3 linked regions of the Nothobranchius furzeri genome follow. The protein of the gene in region 2 binds, or shares a complex with, the protein of the main gene of each other region. Links are inferred from orthologs where the notes say so. Each region holds a gene or a part of one and is shown on either strand. Other genes may lie near its edges.

The links.
Region 1: nup43 (region 2) and nup37 share a complex: the UniProt entries of both Homo sapiens proteins name them as parts of the nup107-160 subcomplex of the nuclear pore complex. The link is inferred for Nothobranchius furzeri from reciprocal best matches to the Homo sapiens genes NUP43 and NUP37.
Region 3: nup43 (region 2) and seh1l share a complex: the UniProt entries of both Homo sapiens proteins name them as parts of the nup107-160 subcomplex of the nuclear pore complex. The link is inferred for Nothobranchius furzeri from reciprocal best matches to the Homo sapiens genes NUP43 and SEH1L.

What each region holds. Positions count from the first base shown.
Region 1 is NC_091741.1:39,616,191-39,620,761, forward strand, and holds part of nup37 (nucleoporin Nup37), read right to left. Parts: intron 2,761-4,571; coding exon 2,688-2,760; intron 2,505-2,687; coding exon 2,410-2,504; intron 1-2,409. UniProt on the Homo sapiens protein: Component of the Nup107-160 subcomplex of the nuclear pore complex (NPC). The Nup107-160 subcomplex is required for the assembly of a functional NPC.
Region 2 is NC_091742.1:11,413,974-11,419,140, forward strand, and holds nup43 (nucleoporin Nup43), read right to left. Parts: upstream 3,303-5,167; 5' UTR 3,083-3,302; coding exon 2,969-3,082; intron 2,754-2,968; coding exon 2,631-2,753; intron 2,177-2,630; coding exon 2,099-2,176; intron 2,000-2,098; coding exon 1,837-1,999; intron 1,754-1,836; coding exon 1,618-1,753; intron 1,534-1,617; coding exon 1,382-1,533; intron 1,282-1,381; coding exon 1,161-1,281; intron 873-1,160; coding exon of another isoform or gene 869-872; coding exon 643-868; 3' UTR 374-642; downstream 1-373. Other genes in the region: pcmt (protein-L-isoaspartate(D-aspartate) O-methyltransferase), read left to right, coding at 3,446-3,626. UniProt on the Homo sapiens protein: Component of the Nup107-160 subcomplex of the nuclear pore complex (NPC). The Nup107-160 subcomplex is required for the assembly of a functional NPC.
Region 3 is NC_091745.1:49,016,066-49,020,636, forward strand, and holds part of seh1l (nucleoporin SEH1), read right to left. Parts: intron 4,347-4,571; coding exon 4,248-4,346; intron 4,159-4,247; coding exon 4,018-4,158; intron 3,851-4,017; coding exon 3,696-3,850; intron 1,093-3,695; coding exon 939-1,092; intron 1-938. UniProt on the Homo sapiens protein: Component of the Nup107-160 subcomplex of the nuclear pore complex (NPC). The Nup107-160 subcomplex is required for the assembly of a functional NPC.

The sequences.
Region 1 (4,571 bases), on a different chromosome or scaffold from region 2:
GGTTTGGACCTCGTTATGAAAGAAATTTTAAGGACGGGACCTATTGGGTTTGAATTGATTACCACTGATCTATAGTGACCCACTGAGCTGTTTAGACTACAGCCTGAGGAAGTGGAGTCTGGTTCCCCGCCTAGATACTGCAGCATCAGGTTGCAGCAGAGGTCCCAACACTGCAGGGGACGGCGATGACAAAACTAAGCAAACTTATAGTGGAGGCCCTCCGGCCAAAGCCAACAGGCTGACGGAGAGGTCGTGAACCTACACATGCTGACATAACCCTCCCTCCTCTCAGATCAAGGCTCCGTTTGTGTGGGCTGACTCTCCTGTTAACCTGATCCATCCCTCGTTCCGCCCGTCTTCCTACCTCGTCCCGTATTTTCTCAGCATGACAGAATTTAAACCTTTCAGCAGATGGAGCGGGCTCCTGTTTTCTCTGGACAGTCGGCAGAGGGGCGGGAGGGGGTTCGGGAGCTGGGAGCGGAGGACGTTTATACGGCGTGATCACAGACGTGGACCGATCCTCGTGTCCGTCTAAATGTTTCATCATAACAGATTATTAGTATTTTACAGATAAATGTGGAATTTCCACAACAAAAATGCAACCAAGATGCTTGCGTTTGCATTTTTCTGGCTCTGCTCGTGTTTATTGTGACCATAAACCTCATCATCAGCTAACTGTGCGTATATATCCTGACAAGTAAGGCAGGATTACTCGTTTTTAATCAGATGCCAGAGTGAATATTTAAATATTATAATTCCTACAGACACGTGCTGACAAGCATTTCTAAAGGATGCAAAATACTCAAAACAGGAAAGATGTGCACCAAGTTAGAAATGTTGAAGCATTTTGAACTAAAGGGTTCAAACCACTTCAGTACTTCTCTTCTTTGCTTCTGCAGAGCCAGAGGTCATGCTAAGGAGATCATCCAACCACTGGATTCTGGGTTCGATTTTTACGAAACATGGATGTTCTTTTCATCTATATGCAGACGACACCCAGGTTTATATTCCCGTTTAACGTGGCCTACCCAATTCTTTAGATCCTCTTCTAAACTGCCTCGATGAGGTTAAAACCTGGATGTCTGCAAATTTTTTACATTTTAATAATGACAAGACTGAGGTCATGCTTTTTAGTCCTAGTGTGTCCAGTGGGCCATGTTCTGCTGACCTTGGTCCGCTAGCCTATTTTTGAAACCAGTCTGGGAGTCCAGCTTGACAGTGATCTGCTTCTGGAAAAGCAAATCAGACGGTTTTTATCAGTTAAGGAGGATCGCCAAGGTTAAGCGTCTGCTCTCAAGTCATGACTCTGAGACGGTGATTCACGCGTTCATTACATCAATGCACTGTACCTTGGTCTTCCTCAGTCTCACCTCTCCCGTCTTCAAATGGTGCAAAATGCAGCAGCACGCCTATTGACGGGCTCGAGAAAGAGGGAGCACTATACCCCAATTTTAGCTTCGCTGCACTGGCTGCCTGTGGATTTTAGGGTCCAGTACAAGGTTCTTTTATTGGCTTTTAAAGCTGTACAAGGCCTTGCTCCGCAGTATCTGTGTGAAGTTTTAGTTACTCACTCCCCGTCTCGGTCACTGAGGTCAGCCGACCAGTTTTTCCTGGAGGTGCCGAGAACAAAGAGCAAGCTCAGGGGTGATGGAGCTCCAAGGTTGTGGAATGCACCCCCAATTCAGATTAGGATGGTTTCGTCACTGTCGGGTTTTAAATCACTTTTAAAGACTCATCTGTTCTCAGTTGCTTTTAATTCAGTTTGAGAATGCATCTGATTTTAGTAGCTTTTATGTCAGTTTGATATGTTTGTTTTTATCATGTTTTTACTTTGTGATGAACTTTTTATCTTATTTTTAGAGTTTTTAGGGAACTTCTGTTCTTTTTGGCTTGTTAAGTACTTTGGTCAGTTTTTATGCTGTTGTAAAGTGCTTTATCAATAAAGTTGACTTGACTTGGATCTAACGTCTGGGAAGAGCAACACCTAACAAGGAGCCGGACTTGACACCACTAGTTCAAAGAAACAGCAAATATGAATAAATAAGCACTAATGAGCAGCTAAAACCAGCACTGACCCTCACTGGTGACGCCATGTTTCACCTTTTCCAGCCTTAATTGAAAAGGAAAATTTAGGAATCCTTGTTAAGAGGGGGGAAAAAAAATCTCACTGCAGCTAATTGGATTTCCATATTTAACCAATTAGCAAGAGGAAGCTACAAAGCAGCTCTGTGCTTATGCACGGTCACACTGGACCGTGTTGTGCTTAGCGTCAAGTTTCACGGTGGAAACGCAGTCAGGTCTTTCTGCACCATTAACCAAAAACAGGACTGAAAATTAGAAGCTGGGAATGAACACGAACACACACACGCACACACACACACACACAAAGAGAAATAAAATAGTTTGGACCTGCAAGTGTGATCATCACTGACGGAAGCGATTTGTTTCCCTTCTGTGGGCTCAAACACCAAATGGTTAATGTAGCTGGTGTGGCCCTCCATCGCCTAGGCAACAAACATGAGAAAACTACAGGTAAGGGAAAAAAAATTCCATTAAATTGGTAGATAAATGTTTTCTGCAAATGTTGCTTTGCTAAGTCTGCAGATCTGTTTCCTGCTAGACTTGATCGTGGAGACTCCTAATGACAAGCGAAGTTTCTGGCCAATGTGCTCCAGATGTTGCGCTACCTTGACTTCGTGCCGCTCCTGAAGATCAGAAGTCAGCAGGCGTAGTTTTCTGTCTGCTGCAGCGGTGCACAATCTGCAAAGAGAGGAAGAGGAAAAGAAAGGGGAGATTTAAAAATAAACAAAAGAGAGAACATAAAAACAGACTCGGTGACACACGACATCTTTCTGCACACACACCTGCAGCCGCCCGGGCTGACACCTCTGAGTCAGAGTCTGTGTGTGGCAGAAACTTGGACTGGGATCAGTGGAAACACTGCCAGGGATATTCTAATTGCAAGCAAAGATAAACACGGAGAAAAACAAGATCGCTCACGCCATGTACGCATGTCTTTGTTTGAAACCCTGTTCCGAGCCAGGGAGAGGACTTTCCCCTCTAATCAGTCCTCGTATACACCAGCGCCTGCAATTACTCACACAATTACACTAACTCACTTATGACAAGAAAAACACACACATATCACCAGAATAAACAGATAGCGGTTCACACATTTTCAGGCGCAGGCACAGATGGACTTGGCATGCTGTCACTACAAACACCCTCGACGTGGTTCAGGTTCTTGCTGCTGCAGCGGACTCGGTTTTACAGGGACCGGCTCGAAAACACTCCAACTCTATGGAGTTGTGTTTTATTTTTTTCTCTTTGTGAAGATGTCTCACTTCTCGCATAATAAAATAAATATACATATGAACCATACCATACCATACCATAGTTTATTTATATAGCACGTTTAAAACGCAGTGTGGGAGCTGCTCACGGTGCTGCACAGGTTAAACCAAAACACAACCAACCCAAGCAACTAAAGCAGAAGATAAAAATACCGATCAAAAGCAGATAAAACATGAGGAATACTAAGATCACATTAAAACATTAACACAATAAAACACTAAAACGAGTCACTGTCTAAAAGCCACATCATAAAAGTGGGTCTTTAAAGGGACATTATGGAAGTGTGACAGCCAAAACATGTACAGAAATAATACATTTCTTCTTCATACATTCTCCTGCAATGCCTGGTCCTGTAGAATGAGCCCTGGCATTTTTACTGTGATTGCCTGTTTTTCTGTAAAATCACAGAAAAAGAGAGATGCTCGGGTCGAGCAGGCTGCTTCATGCACGTTCACGCTCAGGCATAACCCGTAGCATTTGCTATCCGTAGCTTTAGCAGCAGAGAGAGAGGCAGTGCCACTTTGTCGCTGTTCCTAACGCCTAGTGACAAAGCTAGCTACATTTCTGAGGACCCTTAGCTACTTTCTGTAGAACTTTCTTCTAGATATTTCCTGCAAATTAGCAACAAAATAGCCATTTTCACTTTGAACCGTTCTTTGGTTTGACGTTGTTTCAGGTGTCATCAAGGATATAAAAGTTACAGATACTGTGAATTTCACGGGTGTGTAGCTCACCTTGTAAAACGTCTGACTCCCATTCAGAAGACCTGGGTTTGATTCTGGATGTGAACATAGTTCATTTTGAGTTTCTTTTTTACATTAATGGTATATTTTCTTACAGTAAGATGCCCACATTTTTATTTGAGACTCGCCGAACGGCATTGAATTCACAGATAAAAAAGATGTGGGCTCAACTTTCATTTTGGAACAATTTTTCAAGCAAGGGAAGGGAATGATCTGAGCATGCAGGAGGACTGACCCATCATAAACCTTTGTCGGCTGTGCTGAAGAGAAAGCTACAGAACCAAATTATTCCATTAATTAGCGTTCTCCTGTCCTCTGTCCTCTGGGCCACACACACACACACACACACACACACACACACACACACACACACACACACACACACACACACACACACACACACACACACACACACACACACACGGGACTGTCTCAGCTGTTATTTTCGTTAAGGAGTGTGCACGTACAGCATGC
Region 2 (5,167 bases):
CACCATCAGACGCTGGACTTTCACAATAAAAGTCAGTGGAGAAATTACTTTTTTGCTAAGTTTAGAACAAAATAACACTAATAAAACTAATGAAGAAAATTTTAATGCTTTTTTTTATAAGTTTTTTTTTGCTAACCTGTTAATGAAGTCCAAACACATTTCACAGCACAAATCTTAGAAATAAAAAAATAAGAGCATTAATATGTATAAAAATAAATCAATTTCCCTTTGGGTGAGCACATAACATCTATTTGTAAATTTACAGAGCAACATAAGAGCTCACAAGGCTGACTTTGACATTTTTATGTTGGTAGGTTTGATTTACAATTTTACTTGATTTGTCAGTATAAAAAAACGTAACATCCTGAGACAATTTGAGAAAGTTACATTTTATTTCTTTATTGTTTTTTAAGTAATCTGTACAAAACATTATTAATCTGAACAATTGTGTACAGAATGACATACAAAAACACTAATCCATATTCTGTCACTGCAAAGAATGAAGCATTGCATCAGACACAGAGGTCTTTCATTGCGTAGGTATATTGGCTTTTTGTGTAACAAAAAAAAAGTCTTCCAATGTGTCACAAAACATCAAATTAAAATTTGCATTCATGTATTTATTAGTCACCTCCAGATCTTTTAAACTGGGACCTGTTTGTTGATAAAAATAGCCTCTCCATCAGTTCCACAAACTAAGCACTGTCCAAGCACATCCAAGCTGTTGACAGACAGCGTCTGGCTGGGCAGCATGTGGGTCGTCTCCAGGCGGCTTTTACTGGAGTCTCCGTTGAGCCAGGCACTGATGAGGGACTGGTTTCCTCCAGCAAGGGCCATCGCACTGCGAGAGGTCACGCTGCTGTTTCTGCTACCTGGAAACACAACAATAACACTTTTTACAGTGAAATTACGACAAATAGTACAACATGACAATGTTTAATAGACTGACCTGGTGTTGGACATTATCAGGAAATTCTTTGTTTATTTAACCCTAAATAATGTAAACTTTCAGTAAAACATTCAACTGGATATTTTCTTGATTATGGCTTTTGTGTTTCCATAGAATCTTTATAATTAAGAAAATAGAAGAAGTACATAGGCAGCCTTTTAAACTGAATACCAATAATAATAATAATAATGATTATTATGATGAATAGGACTTGCCTTGTAGAAAGGAGGGCATGTCTGAGTGGGAGGACGTCTCCCAGTGCAGCAGCGATCCATCCTCTGAACACGTGAACAGGTGATCTGGGTTGGTAGGGTGGAAGTGGACCTCCCACACTGCCAGGAAAGTTAGACAAAAAGCATTAAAAAAGTGAAAAATATTTAAATATGTGTGTAAATTATATGTCCATTAAATAATTAAAAATGTACATCTTACTTTCAGCTGAGTGGGCCTCCATGAGGGATGAGGGCATGCTGCCTTGCCTCACATCCCACATACAGAGCATTCCATCCTGGCCTCCTGTGGCTACAATGTGCTGCTGGTTTGGATGTCTGTCAATGCAGTACAAAGGAACTCTGTCTCCTGACCTGATTGGAGGAAAATTAAAATCCACATACATCAGCAAAATAGTAGAATTAAAAATGGGGAAAACGTGCTAAAGCGGATCTTACAAGGACAGAATCTGTGATGCCGAGTTGCTCTGTTGTCTTAGATCCCATAGCTTTATTTGTCCGATGGAGTTCACAGTCAAAATCTCCGTCGTCCTCAGGTAAGTCACAGCATGAATCGTGCTGCTGTCAGCATTCTCTACCAAATGTACCCGCAAAAGCATGTTGACTTGACACCGAGTTAAAGTGTACAGAGTTCTGAATGGGGTGGTTTAATCTCACCTATGACTTGAGCCATACAATCCTGGTCGGCTCTGAGGACAATAATCCTGCCGTCCTCCCCAACTGTGATGATCTCAGGGCTGCTGCACACAACTGCAGTGCAGGGAGCATTGTCACAGGGGTAATGGTGCGCTTTCACCCACTGCTGGGAAACTGAGATTGTCTGATGTAAGAAGAAAAAATGATTTTATAAATAAACAGCAAAGGCAGCAACACAACCTTCATACAGGAGTTGACATCTTTTATGAAAGCTCTACTGCACCTGACTGTTGTGATGGTGGCGGAAGATGGTGACTGCTCCCGTTGATGAGGCCGTGACGATTCTCTCTTGATCCAGGAACTATAATCAAGTAGTATAATCAAGTCTAATTTGGAGGAATTGGACAGCTGAAGCTCGACTAAAACTGAGTCATGCAAAACAATGTCCCACGCACGTGTCAAAATTTCAACAGAATGGCTGCAAAACAAATGAGTCTGTGTTGCAAATCCTCCTGCTGACTATAACAAGGCTGTGCACTGAGAAATCCTGCAGACCTACAAAGAAACAAAACTATTGATGCATAGAACAACAGATTTGCCTTCTGTATTAGCAAAATTCTGAAATGCGCAGAAAATGTACTTTATTTGTTTTTATGTGCATCTCTGCAGGGTTCATTGTTGTTTTAATTTCTTTAAAGTGCGTACAGCACTTTGGTCTGTCTTCTGGTCGATGTAAAGTGCTTTATAAATAAAGTTGATGGTGATGAATAATTGCATTATTAGTATGTTATGACATTATTGTTACAGCGTCTTACCTGGAGGCCAAGAACATCTCCATCGTGCTTGTTTTCACAAATAAGCTGCGGATCTCCTTCAAATCCATCTTCCAGGCCCGAATTTTCGTAATTACCCACGGACCAAATAGATATCTTGTTTTCCTACAGAAATAATTTTTTTTTTAAATAAAGGCCACATCCTTGCAAAAAAAATGACCAAAACGAACCTGACAGACACACAAAAAAGCAAACTATGTGTAACAAGTGTTAAATCCTTTTTGACAGTTACAACGTGTAAGTGTGCATAATCAGGAGAAACACAGAACATTTGAAAAACTGGGTAAATTTGGTTCACCAAAAATATTCAACTAGCCAACCTCGTTGTCCCACGATCCCGTCGCAAAGATTTCTGGTTGTTGTAAAAACGAAGACGACACAGGACGCCATCTGGCCTTGCTGACTTTTTGGGACACGTACTTAGCACTCTCCATGAGAACAACCAACGTTTCTGCTGCCTAAATACGAAAAATATTCTTATTGATGTTAGCTTAGCTCTATGTACGCACCCACTAGCTTTAAACGTAAGTACGGTGGCTCAACAGGATCAAACAATCTGATCTGCGTTTCTCGCAAGAAATGTGAATTTGTACATTCCGCCACCTAGCGGTCGTCTCCGTTGTTACTGCGGCAAAAACCTGATAAAGCACTGCATGGCTGAGGAACGTGGCTTTTATTCCCTTTCGTCTGACGCTGACTTTGATGCATCATGAACAGATTAATTATATTCTAAAATGACATATTTTTCTGCTTGGTCGTGCATCTGAGAGGCGGCTCTGCTCTGTAAAATCATTTGGATGTCTAGTGACGTATCCGCCGCTACGCCGTCTGCTCTGGAGGTTGTCAGCTTCTTTGGTAAAACTATTGGCGCAGGCGCGGCACTTACAGCTGCTGTCTACTTACTCCGTAAAGTCTGCTTAATAATGGCCTGGAAATCTGGAGGAGCCAGCCACGCAGAGCTTGTCAACAACCTTCGCAGTGAGTCCGGTTGCAGGTTTAAAGCGGCAGCAGCGATGAACTTCACCGCCGCGTCGCCAGAAAACGTTGTAGTTTGGAGGCTGGGGTTAGCTTAGGAGCGGTAGCTACTAGCAAGCTATGTTTATGGTGACCCAGCGTCTCCTCCCGCCTCTCCACCCCTTTTCCTAAACCACGTTTTTCGCTGTGGGACCATGTGTGGGACAAGGCAACGCTTTTGTCACAGCAGGGGGGAAAAACCCAGCAGAAATGACATTTCCGTTTTGTTGTAAATCGCAGAAAAGTGGTGTCCTGTGGGAAGTTAGCTTAGCATGTTAGCAGTATGTGCGTCATTTGAGATTTTATGCTACTGCCCACTGTCATTGATGTCTGTGTCTTCTACTGGACTTCAATGTGAATGACAGTAACAGCTGTACATGTCCGGATAGTTTCTGCTGAGCTTTAATACTCGGATACATTTAAATAATGACAAGTTGCTGTATCACTGCAGCTGTTAGCTACATAGCTCTGTGCCAAAGCCCACGACTCATTTCCATTTAAGAAGCCTGATTGTTGAACATTTTCAAATTTCTGTGCATATATTTTAGCTGATGTCTTTCCATGGACATTTAATATCCTTTCACAATATTTTAATAAGAAATCGATCAACCTTAGTCGATCTGCAGAAATCAAAACAGTTTCTTTATTGTTTGCACACATTACAACCTGCAAAATGTGTTTTAAATTATCAAACAAAAAAGTCAGAGTAATTTTGAGAATTTTGTAGGAGGGTGTGCCTAGCGTCAGCTTGGCTTTCTGGGCTTATAGACACGACCTATTTTTCCAGTTTATATCTAGTTACCAGTTCAGATCTTGTTTTTTTATATTCTAAATTAATAAAAGTTTATTCATGTAACCAGCCTGTCAAAAAGACAAACTATGAAGTAAAGAAAACTGTAATGCTGGCATAGAAGTAGGGATGTAAAAGTCAACCGAAACCAGGAACCGATACCAATGCAGTTGCCTGAAAGTGGCTTCACCATAACTTGTCATTTCTGTTCACCTAATATTTCAGTTTTGTGATCATTTCTATGAATATATTTTATTTTTTATCTACCTCACAATCTTTTCCTGTTGAAAGCAGAGAAGAAAATAAAACCTGTATTCCAATTCATTGCATTATTTGTGTGGTAGAAGTATCGGCGAGTACTCAGATCCAAGTATCAGTATCGTATCGGTTTGGACAAAAGTGGTATCGGTGGATCCCAAGTATGCTAAAAGACATACAGTGTCATTTCCTGGTTCTCCAGGACAACAATCCAGCACATTTTAGACATTTCTGTTTCAACACACCTGATTAACAGGTTTCTCTGGACCTTGATGACATGTCTAAAAGGTAATATAACCACTGAAAATCATTACAATAGCAAAAGCATCCTGGTTATTGTTCCAGGAAGACCAGGATTGGACACAACTAGTGCAAGAGGAACCCCTGACAATTGTCTTTATGGTGTTTTTGTGATCAAATAAAAGAAAAAAATGTCCTAACACCTTCTGTTGCCTTT
Region 3 (4,571 bases), on a different chromosome or scaffold from region 2:
AACAACATAACAGCTTGATTATATGTTCAAGAGATAATTCAGCCATTTTAAATGTGTTTTAGTGTAAAAGTTAGAAATGATTACCACGCTGTAGATGGCTTTAACGAAAAAGTCAAACCTGTCTAAACAGGCAGCTGGTCTTATTTCTCCAAACAGAGGGCATTCAGGAAGTAATCTACAGCAGCTGGAAGTTTTCTCACAATTACACTCAAAATTCATTCACAGTGACTGAAATATCCCACAGAATCTAAGGCTGATGAATACAACAGAAGATGAATACAGCCTCACATCAACGCCGACCAAACCTGAAACCACAAACTTCTTAACCAATCAGATGGCCATGTTATTTTCCCTTTATGGTTACATTTAGATTATAGAAAATCCATAAATGCATACAGTACTTCCTAAAACAGGAGCTTTGTTTAAGACAGACAGTTCTGACTCTGACGGCTGTATTCATCCTCACATTCATGGATCAGGGTTGGTTAATGGTTTCGATCTGCTCAGCAAAGAGTTTGGCGTTTCTCCGACTCTGAAACATGAGTTTTGAATCACTTTGCTGCTGGTGCACCGGGACGTGGAGATGAAACCGCCCGTCCCAGCGAGGCTCCCTAACAATACAACGGCTCTGCTGAATCTCCTAAAATAACTACATATCAACATTCATATCCAAAATCAGACACAAGGTCAGTCCTTACATTAGGTAAGTGGAGACATCTCTTTTGACATGCATAAGCAGAAAAACACCTCCCGCTCCACACACACAACCTGCAGCTGGAGGACAGAAGCCAAGCTCTTTGCACCGGGTCAGTGTGAGTCCAACAGCTTTGTCAGTGGGCGGCTGCACTCCCAGTCAGTGTGAGGGGCAGGGAAGTTGTCAGTTGTGACGGTTTCATCTGGGACGGGGTGAGTGGCGTCAGGCACACGACACCACCTACCTTCCTGCTGACATCCCGTTCAGGGCATTCTGGGAGGTCTGGATGGAGGAGCCCACCACGGTGCTCATGGCGCTGGGTTGACCAGACGAACCTGTCAACGGGCTGCCGTCCCCCTTCAGGATGCCGGTGCACTTCCAGTTGTCCATGTAGTTAGCTGCTCAAAGACAGGAAGTGACATCAGTGTTTGTTCATCTTCAGAATGGAGGAAAAGCAATGAGGCAAGGCCTCGACTCGGAGCCTTGTTGTCCAGGACTGAAACACCAACAGCTGCAAGGGATTCTGGTTTCAGCACACTTTGAGAAGGGTATCGCTGCAGACCCGGAGACCACAGATTCAGGCCGACTGCCGAGTACTTTCCCTGATCACTTTCAGAGGACAACTATATACTGCCCTCTAGTGGGCTTTTATTGCAGGTTTAACCTTTAACCAGACTCTGCCAGACGTTCCCAGCAGACCCTCACAATACGTTTAAGCTTGCCAGGTCTGACCGGCATCCTCCCCCCACCATCGAAGCCAACTCACCACCATGCAGGGGTCAGTTGACAGCTCCACCCCTCTCTTCACCCGAGTGTCCAAGACATGCGGCAGATGAAACAACAACAAAGTCTATCATCAGGCCAGCGGAACGAGGGAGTCACAGTGTTCCCTCACCCAGACGCGGGTCACCAGGGGCCCCTCTGGAGCCAGGTCTGCAAGTGGGGCAGGTTAAAGAGCCCCTGGCGGCTGGGCTGTCACCCAGGAAACCCAGCTGGGCACAGCCTGAAGAGGAAACGTGGGTCCCCCTTCCCATGGGCTGCAGAAGCTACCTCTCGGTACCATACCACTTTATTTGTAGAGCGCTTTTAACGCAGCATTACAACCGACCAAAGCGCTGCACATAAAAACAAATGAATAAAACAGGGTATCTGCAGGTTTAAGAGAGCCAAATTTAAGACTTTTTAAGACCTTTTTTGAGGCCACTTTGACCAAATTTAAGATATTTAAGCAGGGCAGCAGTAGCTCAACAGGTTGAGCGGGTTGTCCAGTAATCGGAAGGTTGCAGGTTCGATCCCGGCTCCGGACAGAGAATTCTGCTGTTGAGTCCTTGGGCAAGACACTTAACCCACCTTGCCTGCTGGTGGTGGTCGGAGGGACCGGTGGCGCCTGTTCTCGGCAGCCTCGCCTCTGTAAGTGCGCCCCAGGCCAGCTGTGGCAACATCATGGCTCATCCCCACCAGTGTGTGGATGTGTGTGTGAATGGATGAATGATACACTGTAGTGTAAAGCGCTTTGGAGTCCTTACTCTGAGAGGCGCTATACAAGTGCGGGTCATTTATCATTTAAGCTATAATTTCCAGCTGTTGCCTGGAACCGGTGCTAACCACGCCATGATCGTGGGATTAGCCATCCAGTTACCATTAAACTTCCCCATGGCGCAAGCTCCCACTAGCTTAACCAGCTAATGTGCTCATCTAAAAATAGCCCCCTTTCACAACCAACTGAATGTGTACGGTTCCGCTTACGCCAACAACGTACACAAAAAACGCTAAACACCAACTAGAAATTCACGAAAAGTTTATAGAAATAAAAGAATTTTGTTTATTGGGTCTTTTAAGACCTCTGGAAACTGTATTTAAGGATTATTTGTCATTTTTAAGGATTTTTAAGGCCTTAAATTTGGAAAAGCTAATTTAAGGCTTTTTAAGACTTTTTAAGGACCCGCGGATACCCTGTAAAAAACACAAGCTAAAATAGTCGTGTATATCATATGAAGTAAAAAAAGATAAGAGTTAAAACCAACAGAACAAGTAAAGCCAGAATATAAAAACACAAATTTAAAATCAAACAAACAAGGTGGAAAATCTAAGGATGAGTTCATGCTTCATGGTTTGGGAGTTGAAGGCCAGGGGGAAGTGGTGGGTTTTCAGGCGTGATTTAAAAACGCCAATAGAGGGTGCTTGCCTAACCCGAAGAGGTAATGAGTTCCACAAGTTTGGGGCAGACAGAAAAAGTCCTTTCCCCGCGGGTCTTCAAACGTGCCTTAGGGACAGTTTGGAGGAGCTGATCTTCAGACCTAAGAGCACGAGGAGGGTGGTAGTAATGGAGGAGTTCACACAGATAGGGAGGAGCCTGACTGTTCAAAGATTTGAATGCGAGAAGCAGACGGACACTCAGGATGGGCTTTAGCTTAGAAATTGGCCTGAGGTGGTAAAAGCAGGACCTGACTGGTACGCAGAATATCCGGGATTAACTCCAAATCCTGCAGTCTGAAGCTCAGCTCTGCTGAGGCTCACTTCTAGTTTCTGCAACAGGCGCACCAGAGCATTTTTCCCCAGAGTACGACTTACAAGGCATTTATCCCTCCTTGAGATCTCTGCAGATGTTCTGATAAAAACTAATGAGCTACAGCTGTAAACAAAGTCTTGATACGACAATGCTTTTCTCTGTAACTTAATTTTAATGGTTATTAAGTGTTAAACGATGTGGAGAGCCTGACTTTTAAAGGGAATGTACAGTGAAACTAAAGCTTTATTGTTTCCACCGTCGACATATTTATAGGGTTTCCACAAGTTCTTGTTGGAGTTCTAGGTTCTGTCAAGCCAGACTAGTAGAAGTAAGCGTGGACATGCTGAAGTGGCTCCATGTTTCACCCCTCCTGTTCTAGTTTAGGTACAGAGAACCAGCTGACCGTTGAGTTCATTTCTCCTCTAATGAGCTGAGAACGCTGCACAAACTAACAGATCCAACCAGCTGAGTGAGCCAAAGGCAGCTGCCCACCTTTCCACAGCCGAACACAGCCATCGTCTCCAGAGGAAGCCAGCAGGGTGCTGGTGATGTTCCAGCTCACACGCCACACCTGGGAGTTATGGTTGTCGAACTGAGCCACGATCTGCACCTCCAACTTGGTTGGTCCGGTGGTGGTGCTCTCCCTCCTGTCAGACAGATCCACAACAAAAGTTTAGCTTCTGCCTGTGGGTTTAACCGACGCCTGCAGACTCAAAGCACGTACAGGCGCGTAGACGACCATCAGTAAAACACTTTGTTACAACACACCTTCTTCTGAGACTAAGGTGCAGAAAAACAAGGATGAAGACATCACCTCAAAGGAACAAGCTTAAATATTCTGACATCTTTTGTTGCGATGGCGAGGACGTGGAAGGACCTTCCCAAGTTAGGAGCAAATGCGATATCGTGGACTGCATCTGTGACTGTCATCAGTGTCTCTGCTTTACTGTACTTCCTTTGAAACAGAACAGGGAGAAATGTAATGAAACCCCTTTAGGTAGTACGAGTGTACACACACACACACACACACACAGGAGGACCTACCGTGTGTTTTCATTATACTCATAAATCTGAACCTTCCCGCCGTAGGTCACGTTGCTGTCATCACTCCCCACAGCAAACATGGGGGGATGGGCACGAGAGCTGCGGGAACACAAGACAACATCATCACTGACGGCTAAACATGGGACGGTTAAAGGACCACTGTCCACGTTTAAGTGACGTCCGATCAGTAGTTAGAACCCTACCAGCAGGTGGGAGGCGTCCTCTGACCAGCACAATACCCCCAACTACCCAGAAAACTATTGACTAACTTTAATGTAAAGAAATGGACGAACATGCTGAAGTTATCTGGAGGAGAAACAAGAA